Linked DNA regions of Notamacropus eugenii. Each later gene encodes a partner of the first gene's protein in a complex. Links are inferred from orthologs where the notes say so. Each region holds a gene or a part of one and is shown in the gene's direction. Other genes may lie near its edges. The genes, in order: CPSF6 and NUDT21.

The links.
Region 2: the proteins of CPSF6 (region 1) and NUDT21 are in contact, whole or in part, in a crystal structure (PDB 3P5T), measured with the Homo sapiens proteins. The link is inferred for Notamacropus eugenii from reciprocal best matches to the Homo sapiens genes CPSF6 and NUDT21. Residues at the interface, in NP_008938.2 of Homo sapiens: Trp90, Trp91, Thr92, Thr93, Asp94, Glu95, Lys113, Phe114, Glu116, Asn117, Arg118, Ala119, Asn120, Gly121, Gln122, Ser123; in NP_008937.1 of Homo sapiens: Pro151, Asn152, Glu154, Pro156, Tyr158, Tyr160, Pro162, Ala163, His164, Ile165, Thr166, Lys167.

Annotation. Positions count from the first base shown.
Region 1 is NC_092874.1:246,468,415-246,477,874, forward strand, and holds the start of CPSF6 (cleavage and polyadenylation specificity factor subunit 6), read left to right. Parts: upstream 1-5,440; 5' UTR 5,441-5,552; coding exon 5,553-5,612; intron 5,613-9,460. UniProt on the Homo sapiens protein: Component of the cleavage factor Im (CFIm) complex that functions as an activator of the pre-mRNA 3'-end cleavage and polyadenylation processing required for the maturation of pre-mRNA into functional mRNAs.
Region 2 is NC_092872.1:473,941,817-473,951,646, reverse strand, and holds the start of NUDT21 (cleavage and polyadenylation specificity factor subunit 5), read left to right. Parts: upstream 1-5,308; 5' UTR 5,309-5,554; coding exon 5,555-5,670; intron 5,671-9,830. Other genes in the region: prolyl 3-hydroxylase OGFOD1, read right to left, coding at 262-308, 2,984-3,129, 4,939-5,095. UniProt on the Homo sapiens protein: Component of the cleavage factor Im (CFIm) complex that functions as an activator of the pre-mRNA 3'-end cleavage and polyadenylation processing required for the maturation of pre-mRNA into functional mRNAs.

The DNA of each region.
Region 1 (9,460 bases):
AATAAAAATATATTTTTAAAAATTAAAAAGCCTATGTCCTTTAACAGTTATAGATAGGGGAAAAAATTTATGATCAGGCAAGAGAGGATCATAAAAGATACAACAGACTCTTTATTACATATAATTGGAAAAGTTTTTGCTAAAAATCTATGACTAAATCTGTGCAGTTAAATTGAGAAAAGTAATAGTTTTCTAGTAAAAAAAAATCTTTACATCAAGTTTCTCTGTCCAATATCCAAGATGTGTGTGTGTGTGTGTATAAAATTGTAAAACTTGAAAGACATGTATGAATTGATGGCAAGGTGAAGTAGGCAGAAACAGAACAATTTATACAACAAACAACCCTGTAAAGAAAAACAACTTGGAAAGACTTAAAGTCTCTGATAATGCAGTGACCAACTATGCCTCTAGAGGACCAATGATGGATCCAAAGTACAAAATGAACCATATATTTTTGGACTTATATGTGGATTTGTTTTCCTTGACTGTACTTATTTACTGTAAGAATTGTGTTTTTCCCTTTTCATTTGGGGAGAAAGGGTTGGGAAAGAAGGGAAAACTTGTGATACTGTTGCTAAAAAAAAGGATAAAAAGCATGTTTAAGAACACAGAATAGAAGGAAGGTCAGAGGACAACAAGCAGAAAAGCAATGAAAGTCATATGTTGAATTAATTATATGATTAAAAAAACTAAGTTGTGTATAATACTGTGTCATTTCCCATATGATCTTCTTTTTATGCACTTAAATCCCTTGGCCCCTTGTTCTGTCACTTATGATGCTTTATCAAACCCTAATTTTGGATTACTTCCACCTTCCATCACCTTCACTGGTTATTCATGGAATGGAGTTAGAGATAGAAAATTATGGTGACTCAGTCTACCACAGATTTATGTTATATAATCTCAACTGGACCCTCATTATATTAAGGGCAATTTTTTTACATGCCCTAAACCTTCTCATCCCTCCTCAAATCTCCTATGGACCCCGTTTCCCTAACCCTCTCAGCTGAGCACCTCAATTCATCCTTCATTTGATGAGAGCTTCATCTTCTTTCCCCCACCCCACCTCACATGACTGAGAAATATGCCTCCACTATATCCTCCTCATCCCTATTTTTCATGAAGAGGTAGCCCATTCCTGACCAGCACAAGTCCTTCTATGTGCATCCCTGATTCCATCCCTTCCTGTGTTCACCAGTAGATAGCCTCTTCTCTAATGCCAGGTCTCTAATCTTCAATCTCTTGATATCTACTGAATGCTCCCTTGCTGCCTATAAACTTGCTCTGGTCTCCCCCATTTAAAAAAACAAATACACTCCAAATGCAACACTGAAAAACAAAATCTCTTGCCTTCTCAAGGAGAGAGGAGAAGAAAGAGGGAGGAAGAAAATTTGAAACTCAAAGGTTTATCCTACTTTATCCTACCACATCTGTTATCTCTCTCATTCTATCTCTCTCCTCTCTTCTTTTGGCTAATGACCTTGAGAAAGTTATCTACAACTGGTACCTCCACTTTCTCTTTTCTCCTTCTCTTCTAAACCCTCTATGGTCTAGCTTCCAACTTCATCATTCAACTGAAACTCCTCTTTGACCTCTTAATTGCCAGATTTAATGGCTTTTTTCTCAGGGACCTTTCTGCAGCCTATGACACTATTAATCTGAATTTTTCCTCTTCTGAAAATTTTGATACCACAGTCTCTTGGTTCTCCTTCTACCGGTAAGTCAATAAACATTTATTAAGGGCCTCTTACGGGTCAGAAACTGTGCTAAGTGCTGGAGATACAAATAAAAAGATAGTTCCAGCCCAACAGGAGCTTAAAATATAATGGAAGAAGGTAACACACAAAAAGAATTTGAAAAGCAGTCAGGTGGGGGAAAGCACTTGGCTCAAGGGCATAATAAGGAAATCTAAGAGCAGTTCAACTGGTAGAAAATGGAAAGACTGAGCCCCTTCCTTAAATGGAAGTTTTGGAGCTCATGGGTCTACCCTACAGTCTGAGGGCCCAATCAGAAATTCAAAGGGTACTGATGAGATGGGAATGCCATGGCTGATTCTGTCCTGCAAGATAACAACAGTTCCCAAAGATGAGTTTCCTGGGGCATGAATTAATGATGAAATCCCAAAGTAGCATAGCTGGTGAGAGATGGGGATTGTTGCTTCTCAGGATCCTTTTCTGGTTCTTTATCCTGGTGACATCTACTAATCATGGGGTGTCACTTCCCCAAGGCTCTATCTGATGACCTCTTCTCCCTCTGTACTATTGACCTGGCTGATCTCATCAGCTCCCATGGGTTCAATCATTATCTTTATACTGATTTGTAGTTCTATATATTTAGCTCTAACCTTTCCCCTAACCTTCACTCTCAAATTATTAATTGCTTCTGACATCCCATCATTGATGTTGTAAAGATATGTCCAACTCAGTACATCCAAAACTGAACTCATCATATTTCCCCTAAAACCCTCTCCTCTTCCCAACTTTCAAGAACACTTACCATCCTCCACCCAGTCACCTAAGGTTTCAACTTTAGTGTCATCCTCAAATCCTCCCTTGTACCTACTCCATATTTGTTGCCAAGTCTTGTCTTGTTCTCTTTCAGAACATCTCTCCTATATGCCTACTTCTCTTCATTTATACAATTTTTTATCAACTATGCTCTGGCTATTGCGATAGCCTTCTGGCTAGTCTTCCTGCCTCCTCTCTCCCCGCACCATCCCATTTTCTACTTAGTGGTCAAACTGATGTTAAAGTATAGGTCTGACCACATCACTTCTCTCCCCTAGAGGGAACTAGAGTTTAACTAGTTAAAAAAACTCTAGTACCTCCCTATGATCTCCAGGGTGAAATAAAAAAAAAATCTTCTGTTTGGCTTTTAAAACCTTTCACAACCTGGCCCCTTCCTACCTCTCCAGCTGTCTTATACTTTACTCCCCTCTCTGTCCCCTGTGATCCAGACATTTTTGCTGTTCTTGCTATAGTTCCCCATGCCTTCCTCCTCATCCTCTGTCTCTTCATTTCCCTTGCTTCCTTCAATTTAGCTCAAATTCTGCTTTCTTCAAGAGGTCTTTTTTGGGTCCCCTGCTTAGGTCTAGTGCCTTTTCCTTGGGATTCTCTCTCATTTAGTGTCTGTATCTTGTATGTATATAGCAATGTGTCTTTTGCCTATTTCATTACAATGTGAACTCCTTGAGAATAAATGCTTGTTGGTTGATTATATATGGAAATATTCTTTTTTTTTATGTTTGTTAAATTCAGGATAAAAAAATCTTTTTAAAGTATCTATCCAAGTATGTATCCAAGAATTCTGTCCAGGACTATCTCTTCTCCCTGTTCATGAGGATTCTTAGTCTGTTGTCTACATACACACACACTCAGTCAAGGAGTTGGTGGATCAATTTCAAGGCATTTGTGATGTGGATGGGAAACACAAATTATATTTTAACTTTCATTAACCTCTCATTGAAATTCAGCATTTTCTTCTGTTATGGGTGTAAGACAACAATCTTTTGAGAAGGGGTTGATAGACTCTACTAGACAATCTAAGGTGGAATGGGGAACCTGCAGCCTACGGTGGCCCTTTCACTGAATCCAAACTTCACAGAACAAATCCTTTCATTAAGGAGATTATTTATAATGATACTACTACTAATAAAATAATAAATAACATGATTATTTATTAAGTAGATTTGTCCTGTGAAGTTTGGATTCGGTCAAAGGGCTGCACTTGAGCACCTAGAGGGCCACATGCGTCCTCAAAAGTTCACCCTTGGTCTAAGGAGTCCCTGTCCTAAAAAAAGTTACGACCCCCTTGTTTTATACTCTCTCTGTCTCTGGTAATGCCCTATGACTTAGAATCAGAGCCTCATCTCAAAAGCATATAAATTTGGAGGGTTAGCAGGTATTTCTTTTTTCTTCATGACAAATTATTTCATTATGACAAATAATTCCTTCCTGTTGGAAGTACTCAAAACAAAGTCAAGTGCAAGTCATGTCATTATTTCTCTGATGGCATCATCTTCTCCCCCAATGAAGGACGAACACTCACCTGTTGACCAAACTCCTTCTACCAACGCCTCCTTAAAGAGTTGCTTGGGTCCTAGAGAAGCTGAAGCAAAGGGAGGGTACGTGGGACAATTAAATGACTTGTAAAAAAAAAGACCACATACATAGTAGGTATCAGAAACAACACTTGAACGCAGGCCTGACTCCGATGGCTTGGTACCCATAAGGAATCACGCTGCCTTGGAAAGAACGAGATCTGACCAAGTGGCTATGAAGCTGGGTAGGTCCCCTGATGAATTCAGATCAAGGTCGGTCTGAACTGCCCATGGCACACATACAAAATCAAACACACCAGCTCTTGCCTTGAGTAGATCCCCTCTGGAGGGAGGACTCAGAGGAGGAGGATACATTGTAACTCCCTTTAGTTTGGAAAACCCGCCCTGACATGTAACTGACGAGAGAACATGTCTCTATAATAACCTTTCCTAGAATTCCGTAGATCTCCAGCCGTCTTCAGTCACACACATTCATAGGGTTTTCCCCAACAAAATTCGGAGGAAGTCTTGATGAATTTCTGCCTTGTTTTAGGAAATGAGAACAGGAAAGGATTCCCATAAACCCACGTTTCCAAGCCACACTGATCCTGCTCTCCAGATCTCCCCCGCCTTTCATCTTTCTTCCTTTTCTCCACCCTGCCCTATCGCCATAACCAATAGCAGCTCCTTCGTGGATCTCTTTTCCATCCCCATGGATTCCTAGATGATTTCCCCCTCTTCCAAGGTTCCCTACCAGCCCTGCCAGGGACACAACGGGAGGCAGATAAAGAAGGTCCCTCCTCTGCCCCAGTTTTTATAGAATTAGAAGATGTGGGCAGTACTTTCTCTTTCTTTTAAACACCTTTACATGAACACGTACACGGGTTTTTTCCCCTAGAGAAAACGTGACAGCCGATGGTCGGTGTGCACCAGGAGCAGGGGAAGGGGCTGGGGGGTCCAGCCTTAGGGACGCAGCGCGTGCCAGGGCTCGAACCGCTCTCCGGTGCCGGAGCCGCAGGACCGGCGGCGGGGGTGGGGCTGGGAGGGTGTGAAGTGAAAGGGACTCCCAACGAGAAACGGAAACATTCATCTGCTAATTGCAAATAATTAGGAAGCCGAGGCTGTGCCACGTGTCGGGCCGTCCTCCTTTACCGGGCCTTCGCGTAGACCCCCACGCTGCATGGCCGGCGGCAGAGCCACAAGCTCCAGCCCCATGGGGGAGGAGGCGAGAAATGAAAAAAAAGAAAAATGGTGTCCCCCTCCCCGTCCCTCCAGCGCCAGCTCCCGCTCCGTGCAGCCGCAGCCCGGGCCCGCGCTCAGGGCGCCTCCGCAGCTGCGGCTCCCGCCGCCCACAGCGCCCACCCCTCCCGCCTCCCGCCTCCCGCCTCCCGCCTCGGAAGTGACGCAATGGGTCCCCCCTCCCCCCTCCGCTAGATCCGCTGCTGCTGCTGCTGCTGCGGACCGAGCTGCTGTAGGTGGCCGCGGCGGCGGCGGCAGCGGCAGCCGAAGGAAAATGGCGGACGGTGTGGATCACATAGACATTTACGCGGATGTGGGCGAGGAGTTCAACCAGGTACGTGCGGCCCACCCCCTTTTCCCCCGGAGGCCCCGCGCGGCCGAAGCGGGCTGCGCGCTGGCCGGCGGGGTCGGGGCCGGGCCGGGCCCGCTTGCTGCGGGGGCTGCACCTCGGCCAGATTCCGGGGCCTCCCTCCCCTGCGCTCTCCCCACTCGCTTCGCCCTCTAGGCTTGCTCGGCCCCGGCTCCTCCTTCCCCGCTTGCCCATTGTGGGCGACGCCCGGGTCCCGGGGCTTCCCGCCTCGGCGTAGGCCCGGAGCGGCGGCGGCGGCGGCAGCGGCGGGGCCGGGCCTCGTGTGCGCCGGGGGGCGGGGGCAGCAGGGGCAGGACGGCCGGGGCCCGCCCTCCTGCCCGGCCCGGCCCGGCCCGGCCTTGCGGAGGGCCCCACTGGGCTCCGCTCCCGCCCCTCGCCTCATGGAAGCCTCCGTTTCGCGGCCCTTTGTGCCCCCTCGCGCCCCGCTCTTCCCGGATCCCGCCTTCCGCCTGGGCCACGGGTCCCTTCGCCGGCGCCGCTCCCGAGGCCCCGAGGCCTGGCCGCCGCCGCCGCGCTGGGGCCTGGCCTGGGGGGAGAGGCGGTGGCCTGCGGGCGGGAATGGCCCCTTCGCACCTGAAGGACCGGGCGCGCCAATCGGGCCGAGCGAAGCAAGGGCCTCTGCCCATCTGCCCATGTGCCCCTCCATACGCCCGATTCGCTGTGAAAATGTCCATCCCCGACCTCCGGAGGCCTCCGTGCACCGCGTCCATTGACGCCGCTGGCCCGGGAGGCTTTGTAGTCGCCAATCCCCGCCCCCCGGACCCCGGTCCTTCCAGCGTTTGAGTGGCGGGTGGGCGCCCCCCTGCAGGACAGGCGGTGCGGGAGCCCCGCCGCGGGGAGCTTTTATTTGAAAAATACTCCTTTTTGTTTTCTCATTTGTTGGGCGCCTGCTCCGGCCCTGGGCTTTGTGGCTTAGCGCCGGTGGGGGGGCGGGGGAGCCCCCTCCCCCTCGCCCCCGTCCCGAGTCTCCTCCGGAAGAGCCGGGGTTCGGATTCGGAGGGACGGGCATTCTTTTTGCAAAACGTCTGCCCTTGCTGTTGGGCCGCGGAGCCGGGAGGATGGGTGCCCCCGGGAAGGCAGCGCCCGCCCGGGGCCTCCCTCCGCTTAGGCTGGGAGCGCCTGCGGGGAGGGGGCGGGGGGCGGCCTGCCCCCTCGGGGGCTGAAGCCAGCCCCTGCCCCTGGGGCTCCCGCCTTCGAGCCTGGCTTGGAGGGGGCCTGTGGAAGGTGGGAGAAGCCCGGGTGGGGGGGTGGGGATGGGGGCTTTGCCGTTTTCAAAGGTTTTTTTGGTGGAAGATGGCATTTTAATTGGCACTTGAAAGAAGCCAGGAGGTGGATTAAATGGGTTCTGCCCAATAGTGGTGGGTTTTTCCTTCATCTGGAAAGTGGGATTTTAGTTGAAACTTGGAAGCCAGGAATTAGATGTATGTGTTTTGTTCAGTAGCCCTGGTTGGGGAAAGGGGTGGGGGATTGGGTTTGGGGGAGGCGGGGGTGAGGGGGGCTTGGTTTTTTGTTTTTTTTTTTTAAAGATTTCTTGTAAAAGGTGGGGTTTTGGTTGAAACGTGGAAGGAGCCAGAAGGTGGATAACGTATTTTGCCCCATATAACGTGTTTTTGTTGATGGTGGTGGTTATAATCCCAAACTGCACAGGAATGTCATACCTGATGGGTTTATTTTTTTTCTGGCTCCGGGAGAAAGGAACTTCTTAAACTTCCCCACGTCTGAGTTTGCTGATTATTTTTTTTTTAAATTTGGGTGAATATGTTAATTGACACAAATCAGATTGTTTTTCCTTAAAGATTTCTTTTCTTTTTGTGTACCTTGGGGTAGGGTTCCCAGGAAAGACGAAATCACCACATTTTCCTATGATACACTTCAAAAAATGTTTCAGATATTAAGCCGTAAATGGTCAAAGCGTCTTAAGATGAAAAATATTTTAGATATTTGTGGTTTGTATTTCAAGCCCATTATTTTCAGTGTTTATACCAGTTAAGTGTCTTTAAGCTGTTAATGAGAATACAGCTTTATAGTACCACAAAAAAATAGGACACCAAAGCTTTTTTGGATCCCCTTTTTATCTGCACACGGAATGTATGTCTGATGTTAATATGGCAAGTTGTCCTCAAAGGTTATGCCAATTAAATGTCTCTAAACTATGAATAGGATATAATGTTTGAGTGCCGTAGAAAATAGAATAGCTAACTTTGTAGGGGGATACTCTAGTTTAGGGGTTCTCAGCCTTTTTTGTGTCAGGCCCCTTTAATGTTTGTAGTGTTTCTGTTGAAAGTTCATTGGACTTATGGTTATGCCACTTAAGTGTCTTTAAACTTGGTAAGCCTGCAGCGTTGGAGTACCACGTAAAAACGGAATACCAAAGCTATTTTGGGGGGGAATCTATGGTTCTTTTTATTTGCATATTTGCAGTGTTTATATTACTAAACCCGTTCTGCTTAAAGATTATGCTGTGTCTTTAAACTATTAGTAAGAATACAGGATCTTTTAAGTACCACGCAAAAAGAATATATCGAAGCTTTTTAATTTTTTTTAAGGATTTTAGATGCACAGTTGCTGCTAGCAAGCATTTTTTTCCGAAAAGAGGTCAATGTTATGTATTTTCTGAGTCCTGGGTATGCTTTAGGACTGGAGGCCAGGATGAATATAATCTTTATTCCCTTTTCCTTACAGGAATTTCTGTCCTTGGCTTTGAGCTCCCTCTCCACAGAGCAGGCATACTTGGGGCATCATTTAGTGGCCAAGTCTTTTTTCAGTTTTCTTCACTTCTCAGAAATACTTCAGGGCTGTTGCAGACTTGATCCTGGAGGGATGTTTCCTTTGTTTGTAATGCCAGTTGGTACTGTTCAATTAACTTCCTGCAGCCTGGGTGAGAGAAATTTCCTGGGTTTCATTGACTACTTTTACAGTCAGCTTTTTTTTTTGGATTCAGAATTTCTTTTTCAACATCTACCAGACAGCCTACATTCAAATGGCTTTACCAATGTCATTTTAGAGATTCAAATTGATGAAGTTAGAAGGTGCTGCTTTTGTTTGTAGTTTGATTAAATGATAACTTTGATTTTTATAGTCTGGATGTTACTGACCTCTGCTGTTTTTACCCCCCTTTGATCATGATCCTGTACTTTTAAAGTGTATAATGTTTGAATATACAGAGAGGTAATTCTGTATTTGCTGTGTAAATTATGTTTTGTTAAAATTTAAATGAACTTTTATATATATTTAAAAATAATAATCATGCATATATTAGAAGTTAAGCTTGACCATTTTTTATTAATATAATGCACTTTGGGAGTGGGATAAGTGAATTCCTTCATTGACCAGATGAATTTAAGAGTGGTGAGGAAAGATAAGGGAGGGAAAAAAGCACAAGGGACTCTGCTGTTTTATGTGGGGGTATTCTTGATGTCTTTAATTGGAGGTTCCTAGATTCCATCAAATTGGGAACAGTTACTCTTTTGAAGGCAGTCATTTGGGCTTTTCTTTTTGCAATGTTACTTGCATCCTCTTCTCTCCCCTTCATCCCCCCTCCACCATACACATGCACTGTGTTTAGGTTTGGGAAGAGAACAGCATTAGAATCCTAGCTACTAAAGCAGTTTCAGTCCATTCCAGGATTTATATTTATTTATTTTTAATTTTATAATTGAGCATCTTGACTCAGTTCTTTTTTCTTTTGCCTCAAATATGTATAAAAATCAACCCTGGTCGATGTGTCCAATTGTGAAGTACGGAGTCACAGGATCATAGACTTGGAGTTGGAAAAGACTTTGGAGATCAGAGTCCAACATCCTCGTTTTACA
Region 2 (9,830 bases), on another chromosome or scaffold:
TAAATCCACTTTAAAAAAGGATCTGTTCTGTAAAACTTAGATTTAATAAAAAGGCTGCACCCAAGAACCTACAAGGCCACATATGGCCTCAAGGCTGAAGGTTCCCTACCCCTGCTCTATATAATGCTGATATTTCTAAAAGGACACTAAACAAATGCACAGCACTGCAAATGAGCTACAGTTAATTCAGTTCTAGAGTTCAGGGATTAGAAACAAGGGCTCTAGTTCCCTGCTGCTGTGCATTAGGGACACTTCATTTACCTTAAGGCAGAGATGTGAAGCTCGTCTCTATTCTTCAGATCATCCGACTTGTGATAATGGAAAAAAAAACTCTCAGACATTAGATATACAGGCAAATCATTGTGTTCTTACAAGAACTTTTGTGACGTAATTGAAAAAAGAGAAAATAACGGGTTGCCTGAGCTCAGTACCTGTCTCCTCTGACTCTGAACATAAAATCAATACTACCTAGCTTACTACCTAAGTGTTCTGCTTTTGTAGGTCTGTCTTATGTTAACATCAACATTACAAGTCCTGTGAAGGCAGGGATTATTCCTTATCTTTTCCTTGTATCCTTAATAGTGCTGGGAAACATGTAAGATATCTGGAAAGGTAGCTATGGTAACAACATGGATCTCAGAGTAAGGCAGATTCAGTTTATTTATTATTTTGGCAACCTAATTTTCCTCTTTTTTAAACCAAGGTATCATAAAGATGTAATTAGCTATCTGACTAGCAAAGAAGGTAAGCAAGTCATGTGGCAAGATTGACAAATAATTGTGTATTCAGTTGATATTTACACAAGAGGAGGGTTTTAAGCAGGTTGGGTCTACACCTTTGTGTAAGATTTATATGACATGGATAGGAATGGCAGAAGAATAAGAAGGCGCAGATGAGTTGTGATCTGCACCTCTGGAGGGAATAGCTACGTTAAAGAAACCAAAGATGCACTGTAACACTGAAGAAGCTATTGATTTATTGTTCTCTTAATATTGTAAAAAAACCCAAAAAACCCAACACCCCATAAAAAAGCTAGTTTAAAAAAAATCACTCCTATTATCTTTATTCCCTCATTTTTTTCTATTTTCCTGCTAATGACCAAGATTCCTTTTTAAAGGGTTGTTAGTTTGCTGAATCTGTTTTCTCTAACTGCATACGTAGTTGATTAAAAATATCTCTTCTTAATTCATCAGTGTTTTCAGAGATCTAATTTTTCCTCTGAGTACTACTTTTATTGGATTTCATATATTCTGACATATTGTCTTATTATTAGGATCATTCTTTTAACCTGCCTGTGATTCAGAATGCTACTACTTAGTCTCCATTTAGGTCTATACATTTTGCTTATGTTTCCTCTATGAATAGTAGTTTTCATTATTTAACAATCTATAAAGAAAATATTTACCATTTTTATGTCCTAAAACATGATCAATATTTGTAAAGCTATTACTGATGCTCTGAAATAGGTATATGCTTAAATATTCCCAATGAGAAGCTGTCATAGGTGTTTCAAATCTAATTGTTCCAATAATTTGTTCAGTCTTTTATCTTCTTTGATTCTCATCTTTCTGCTAGATTTACAGAACTCTAAAAAATATTAGTTTCCTACAATTATTATGTTATTACCAATATCTTCATAATTCTGTTAGCTTTTAAGAACTTATTAATGGCAATACACATATAATTAATATTGCCTTACTGCATATGATATCTTTAAACAACAGAATTGACACTAAATTTTTATTACTACCTTGTTTAAAAATCATGGTTCCAACCCGTTTTTCTAGAATCAAATAAAGGAAAACAAATTTTGCCCCAATCTTTCCTTTTCACTTGGTATCCCTTTGTTTTGAAATACCTTTTCTGAATACGGTAAATTGCTGAGTTTTTTCTTATCCATCTTTCCATTCTCTTTCCTAGGGAATTAATCTATACACTTTCAAGATTATAACTGTCAAGTTTGTGTTTTCCTCTATGGGAATTGTTTTCTTCTCTTTTCAGTCAGTACTTAGTCCTTGCGACTTCTTTTGCTTAGATTAATTTGATTCCAGTTATTTCCCACCAATTCTCCATTCTGCCCTACTTCCTCATGCTCAGGTCAATTGTGTGTCAGTTTATGATTCTGTCCTTCCATTTCTCAGCCTAGATAAGAGGTATGGTACAGAATCTGCCATGGTCCTCTCCCCAAACCATTCTCTTAGTTTCAGCAATGTACATTTGCCCATTCCATTTTTATAAAGAGCTAAGTTGAAGAGGAATGATAAGTGAAGTTGTCAGAATAGTACTATCAGCATTTACATATAGCAGTTTAGATTTACAAAGCACTTTACAAAAATTATTTTATTTTATCTTCACCACAGCCCTGGGAGGAAGGTGCTATTGCCTCCATTTTACAAGTGAGGAAACTTGAGGCAGAGGTTAAGTGATTTGCCCAAGATTGCACCACTAGTATCTAAGGGAGGGTTTGAACTCAGGCCTCCCTAACTCCAGGTCCAGTGTTCTACTCACTGTGCCACCAAACTACTTATATGTATGTTGCTCACATACTTATATACATAAGAATTATACACATATGTACACCTATAACAGCATATTTAAGTCACTTGAACCTCAAAACAACTGTATGAAACGGCTATTGCAAGTATTGTTACTACTAATTTATAGAGGAGGAAACCAGTTTGGGGAGGGTAAGTAATTCACCCCTAAGTCAGATGGCTATAAAGTACCACAGCTAAGATTCAAACCTATGTTGATTAATTCTAAGTTTTTCTAATCTATGATACTGCCTTATGAAGACAGGTATCAGAAAGATAAAAGTGAGAAAAAGATGTATATTTCTTTTGCTACAATTGTGCCGAAAGTATTAAGCAGTAAAATAAAAATAAGGCAACCATAGTAACCTAACTGGGATTGGTTGAACCTTGTATTAAATGACCTTTGAGGGAGCATATTTAAGTGGCATAAATAGTTTGTGAATACACACCTGTTTGAATTTGTACAAGTCATTGCATTTCTCATGAAAATCCAAATCCAAAAGTTCCTTTTGAAGTCCTTCCAAGAAAGTCTGGCACTGGATGAAGTCTGGGATCACACAGTGATGGAAAGGATCTGGGTCTATGACTATGGCATCTTTCATAAAAGAAAACAGTGTTAATATTTTGCTGGGGAGGTCTGAGGGATTTAAGGGGAAGGGATGAATAGGAAATAAAACTTCATGGTCTAAAATACAGAAGAAGAATTGGTGGTCTTCCACTTTCTATTTACTTTTACCCTATATTTTGTGTTCTAGTTCACCTCCCACTTATTTCCCAAAGTTCTACCCAGTTTATGCATAGTTCTTCCATAACTCTTATTGTACATTTATTTATCCAGCCCACACCTCTCTTTTGACATCCAGTCTTGTATCTCCAACCACTTACTGGACATCACAAACTGGATATCCTGGGGACATCTTTAAACCAATTATATCTAAAACTGAAGTTATTATCTTTTCTTTCCAAACCCTTCCCTCTTCCTTTCAAGGGCACCACCATCCTCCCAGTTACCGAGGCTCACAACTTAGGTGTCATCCAAGACTCCTACCTTTCAATCCTCACAACCAATATTTCACAACATTACTAAGATATATTCACTCCCCTTTTCCTTTCCAACACTTTGTGCAAGCCTCATGCCTAGACTCTGAAGAGCCTGCTCGTTGGCCTCCCTGACTCCTCTCTCCCTCTTTGCAATCTATCCTCCACCCAAATGTCAGTGATCTTTCTAAAGTGCAGGACTGATCACATCACCCTCTCACTCTTTACTGAAGCCCAGTGGTTCCCTAGTACTTCCACGATTAAACATAATATCCTCTGGCTTTTGAAACCTTTCATAACCTGGCCTACTCCTACCTTTCCAGTCTTTTCACATTTTATACAGTCCGATTCAACTCCTAGCAGGTAACATTCCATCTCTTCATTCTATGCTCTGCCTCCTTACTTCCTTCAACTCTCACCTAAAATCTTACCTCCTACAGGTCCTGCTTACGGTAGTCCACCTTCCCTCTGAAAGGACTCCCTCCAATTAACCTGTAATATATCTTGATCGGACATAGCTGTTTGCATGTTGTCTTTCCCATTACATTGTGAGTTCCTTGAAGGCTGAGACTGTTTTTTGATTTTCTTTGAATCTCCAATGCTTAGCCCAAAACCTGGCTAAGGTGCTTAAGAGGTGCTAGTCCAGTTGGGTGGACAAGTATTGACTACTGGAGTTTGTACTTTTATTCATACAACCAATATCTATTAAGCACCTATTATATACAAAGTACTCAAACATTTTAATGATTTTTTTCTTTTCTCCAACCAGACTGTAAATTCCCTGAGGACAGACACTTTAACAATTTCTAATGAATGTCCCACAGGTCTTCGCAACATCATTAACGAGTAAAATACCCTGGCTCCTTTCTTTAGATCCGCAGGCCCATTACTGGGCACAACAAGGAGTCTTTGCAGGTTGGCAGGATCATCAGATTAAACTCCCCTGGCATAAAACTGGAGAACTCAAGGTCACCGGCGGGCAAGGATCAATCACCTGAGTGAGGAGGTTTGAGTTATTACCAATAACTGGGAGAATCAAGGACGGGTTCAAGGAAGAGGAGAAAACGCTGGAGTTACAAAGACCCAGCTTGTTCCCTCAAGGAAACTACAGTTCACAATTCTGAACTAGGCTTGGCTACAGAAAACACCTTTCCGCAGGATCACCTTCCCTTCCAGTCTTTCGGCCAGGACCCTTCCTGGCCCCGCCCCTCTGGGCTCTGGCCCCGCCCCTCTGGGCTCTGGCCCCGCCCCTCTGGGCTCTGCCCCCGCATGCTTGCAGCCCCCTCCTCACCCTTCTCCCACCCCACCCCCCACCCTCCCAAACCAGAGCAGCAACTCCATGCGACCGCCGCTCGCCCGCGGTTACCGTGACTGAATCTCGTCCTTCGGCTCCAGGCCTCAGCCACCTGGTTTTTCAGCAATTCTTCACGGATAGCGGCCGAGAACTCCCCTGTCAACTCCCGCTTCCCCTTCTTCTTTCCCTCTGAGACACGTCCCGGAGCCGCGCGCCGTTTCCCGCTCATACCTTCGGATCGCTTTGCCTCCCAAACCAGAACACTGCTACGAGTCGCGCGCCATGCGGCAAATGCGTCGCACCCACCGATACTACAACTCCTAGAATTCCCCCACTACCCACGAGACGCCCAATGGAAAGAAGAAAGCCGGGAAGAGGCGGCGCCTAACTTGTCTTTGCCAATGGGTGCCTCCGGTGGCGCAACGTCCTTGCTGTGATTGGCCACGCGCCGCTCTGGAGAAGGAGACTAGTTCCCTTCTGTGATTCGAGGCAATAGCCCGACGCTGAGGAAGGATAGGTCAGAAAGCACTTCCGGTGAGCGTCCGCCTCCTTCTCTGGCGCCTCCATGTTAATGGCGGTAGCGGTTGCCGAAGTGGGACTCTAATCCGGCCTCAAAGGGGAAGCAGCTTTTTCTTTCGGCTTCCGTCTGCCCCTGCCAGCCCTCGCGCCCACGCCCTCAGTCGCCAGCATGTCTGTCGTGCCACCCAACCGTTCGCAGACGGGCTGGCCCCGGGGTGTAAACCAGTTTGGGAACAAATACATCCAGCAGACCAAGCCTCTCACCCTGGAGCGCACCATCAACCTGTGAGTGACTCCCCCCCTTCCTCCCGATCCTCGGGCCGCGACGTGCCCCTGCTTTCCCGCCGCCCCAACTCCCTCCACGCCACGAGCGCATCCCGGCCGCCGCCTCGATGTTTCCCTCCCTCCCTCCCCCAGAGCGCGTCCCCCACTCCTTTTCCTGAGGCGCGCGCCGTTGGCCCCCCGCGAGTCCCGGGCACCCGTGGGCTTGGCGCGCTTCCACTTCTCCTTGGCGCGCTAGGCTTCTCACTCTACATGTGGGCGTGCCCCTGGCCACCCCCCTGGCCCTGAACCCCCCAAGCAAAGCGTCACGGTTCTAAAGGACTTGAGAATACATACACTACCGTTCCTTAAATCTCCAGTGCAGGAGATGGAAGACGTTTTCCGTCTGTCAGTAAGCTGTACGCCAGGCACGGACCTGGGCCCAGGCGACAGGCCCTGCTCTGGAGAAGTTCACCCTGTAACGAGGGAGACCGTGTGCTAACAAATTTCCATAAGCAAGCCATATACTGGAGAAGTAGGAAGCCGTAGGGAAGGCATCGGCTAATGCTGGGGATTCTGGAAAAGCTTCCTTTAGAAGGTGGGATTTTAGCTGGGACTTGAACCAGCAAAGCCAGGCGCCGGGGGTGAGGAGGGAGAGCATTGCCTGCAAGGAGACAGCCAGAGAAAATTCGCAGGGTTGGGAGATGGCGTGTCGTGTGTGTGAGGAGTGATTGGGAACCATTGTCACCGGATCGAAGAGTAAGGAGGCCGTGGTGTAAGGTGTAATAAGGCAGAAAGCAGGGCAGGATGCTCACACCGGGAGTAAATGACAGACCTGGGAATCTTAGACTAGAGGGCCAGGAAGTCACCTGCTTTGTGCCAGGCAAAGTGTAAAGCACAAAGAGAGGCAGAAGATTTTTCATGTCTACAGATGGTGCTAAACACCATTCTCCAAGAGCTCACAGTCTAATGGAGGAGATGACACTCAAAACAGCTATGCACAAACCAAGTGTATACATGATAAATTGGAGATAAGTAAAACATCTAGTATAAAATGAGGTTCAGAAGGGGGATGACTTTTTCCATTAAAAAAAACTGTAAAAATAAAGCTTCCCTTTCTTTGGACACCTAGTTGATAGAGGCACTAATAGTAGTCTCCTTCTGGCAGCCAACTCCATTATATACCAAACTTCCCATATATTGTGGGTTCTTTCAGTGGTCCCTGCTTAGACATGTGGTTGGATTGGCAAGTGGGAGGAAGCTTGAGGTCTGTCTTGCTTTTCCTTTCTAGGATATTGCTTCTCTTTTCCACTAGGCCAACATCCTAGCACGTTGTACTGCATGTGGTTGCTGTGTGGTACTGCATTGTTGCTATGGAAACACAGCATTCTTTTCTAAGAGATAGAAAAGCATGTATAATGCATTCTCCACAATGAATATGCCTTAAGGTTTTTGCTTAAACTTTAAAGTTACAGTTTTTGAAATGCAGATTCTATCAGGCAGATAATTCACATTGGGAATCTCATACCAACAAACGGGCAGCAGACCTTTTTACCAATCATTGAGTGTGTATATCATTCTGTGGGAATTACTCTTCATGTTGTCATTTACTGAATGTTACAAAGTTGACATAAATGTAGGCATTCGTTTCTGATGGAAAAAGTAGGGTCTCAAATTTGCATTTGGTTAAGAAATAAAGGAAAGGTAATCATGCAAAGAACTTAAAGGTTAAAGATACGAGTCTTTGGTATCTGAAAATAAAATGTAGTCTGCTGATTTTTATCTCAGCAATTTGAAAATAATACCTAGAACTATGTCAGACCACCAAACTTGAAAGCATTCAAATTGAGCTGTTTATTAATCCTTTAATTTGTGGGTGTATGGTCAATTAATTTTTACTAATAACCTTCCAACTATGATGCTATGAAAATAGACTTGTGGGCTGTCCTGGAAACAACCAACATTTATATTAAAAATGCATTCTGAGTTCTAAAAATTAAAAATCTTGGAACACAGTTTGTTGGAAAGTTGGGCACTGACTAAATTCAGAAACATTTATTGCTTAGTAGACCCAAGTTTTCATTGTTCTAGGTGGGCAAGAAATATGCTAAACTGAAGATAAGCTTCATCCTTTGTTTCCTTTCAAAGTAATTTTTGTTGTTGAATTTCAACAACAGTAGTTGTGTCCTACTCTTTGTGACCCCATTTGAGGTTTTCTTGGTAAAGGTACTGTAGTGGTTTGCCATTTCCTTTTCCAGCCTATTTTACTGGTGAAGAAACTGAGGCTTGCCCAGGGTCACACAGCTTAGTAAGATGAATCTTAAGGCATGGTATTCTAATCCATTGCTCTACCTAGTTGTCCCTCAAAAGAATGTAGGTAAAAATAACACTTAAAGTTTTTTAAGAATAGTTTTCATAACTGCTCTGTCTTTTGATTTTTAATTTTTCACATTGACAACCTCATGGAGGAGTAGGGACTACATCTTGCAGTGTAGCTATGTCATGTCTAAAGATGGTGTTAAGCCCTCCAGCCAAATAACATGCGCTAGTGAATTTTGCTCTATTTTTCCCTGTCATTTAAGGGTTAATTTGAAGTGAGAAAGTGCCTATGATCTAATTTAGAAATATCAAGGTGTTTGGTTTCATACTTCTGTTTGTTCTTTTTTGGCATTAGGGTTATGGATTAGGGAAACAGTGTATTACCTGCTACTGTTAGAATGTTTTAGTAAATTTAAGAGAATGTATATGGTAAAAACATTCACCCCAAAGTATATGGAACACTTGGACTGAGGAGGAGCCACTTGCAGATAGAGAGGATAAAATAAACTGTAAGATTCTAAATTTTTTAAATTTTCCCACACAATTCTGAAGTTTGCCTGAACATCTGCTGTTTAACATGGGCAAAGGACCCATCTGTAATTTGGCAGAAGGATTTGGGCCTCTCTCTTGCCCGGGAGCCTTGAAAAATTGACTTGCCCTAGATCACTGTGTCAGAAGAATGACTTGAACCCAAATCTTCCTGACTTTTGCCTACTTTACATCCTGTAAGTTGCTAGGTGATGCAGTGGATAGAGGACTGCACCTGGAATTAGAAAGGCCTGAACTCAAATCTAGTCTCAGACACTAGTCATGTGACTCAGGACAAATTACTTAACTAATCATTTCTAGTTTCCTTATTTGTAAAATTGGGCTTATGATAGCACCTATCTCCCTGACCTATAAAGTTGAAATGAGTTAACGCTTCATAAACCTTAAAGCCTGTATAAATGACAGCTAACATTGTTGTTACTATTATTACCACTTCTTTTAAGATGCTAATTTGTATTGTGAATCATCCCTCTGGAAGATGTCCCTTTGGACCACTGGGTATTTCCTTACTTCTTTGAATGGGTTTATAATTTGGGACAAAAGGGCTGAAAAATCAAAATGGCCTTTAAACCAGAAAGTGGAGAGAGAATTTAGGATGAATTGATTCAAAAATAGAATGGTCTGAGAGCTATCCTTTCAGAAAAGTCTTAATAAAAAGTATTAACAAAGATGGAGCACAGTAAGAGTACCCCTGGAGGAATGGATCTACTGATGGAGTGAACCTTCAGGGTTTAGGGATATGGTACTTAAGGAGAGGAAGGGGAGGAGACTACAGAGGGATATCAACCCAGTTTGTGAGGAAGTTGGCTGTTGATTTCAACCTGAAGCTACAGTGGAGCAGACCTAAGAAAAAGATGTTCAGTATTTAAAGGGCTGAAAGAGTACCTCCCAGGTAGGAGGAGGGTTGAAAAAGAAGAGAAATATCAGCAGTTACCAGGGTCTGAACAAGGGAAGTAAGGACAGAAAGTGACACACTAAGGTTTGCCTGGTAAGTAAATTGTACTCTGAAATCACTCTGGTTAGTCGTTTGTACATATCAACTTAATTGCATGTGGTGGAAAGAGTGTGGCTAGAGTGAAAAATTGGGGAAAAGCTATAAACCCAAGGATATGGTCTTTAAGTCATAATTTTCTCCTTATGATGCTTTGATCTGAGCAGAAAATCACCAGACAAATGGTGATTGAGAAGTTGGTTAGGAGAGTTTCTTTTGGGGGGAAATGATCCTGTTTTGGCACAGTACTTTCTTGACCCCAATGTGTATGAGAAATTCATAAAAGAATAAAAGGAGGAGATGGATGGTCTTTGGTTAATATCTA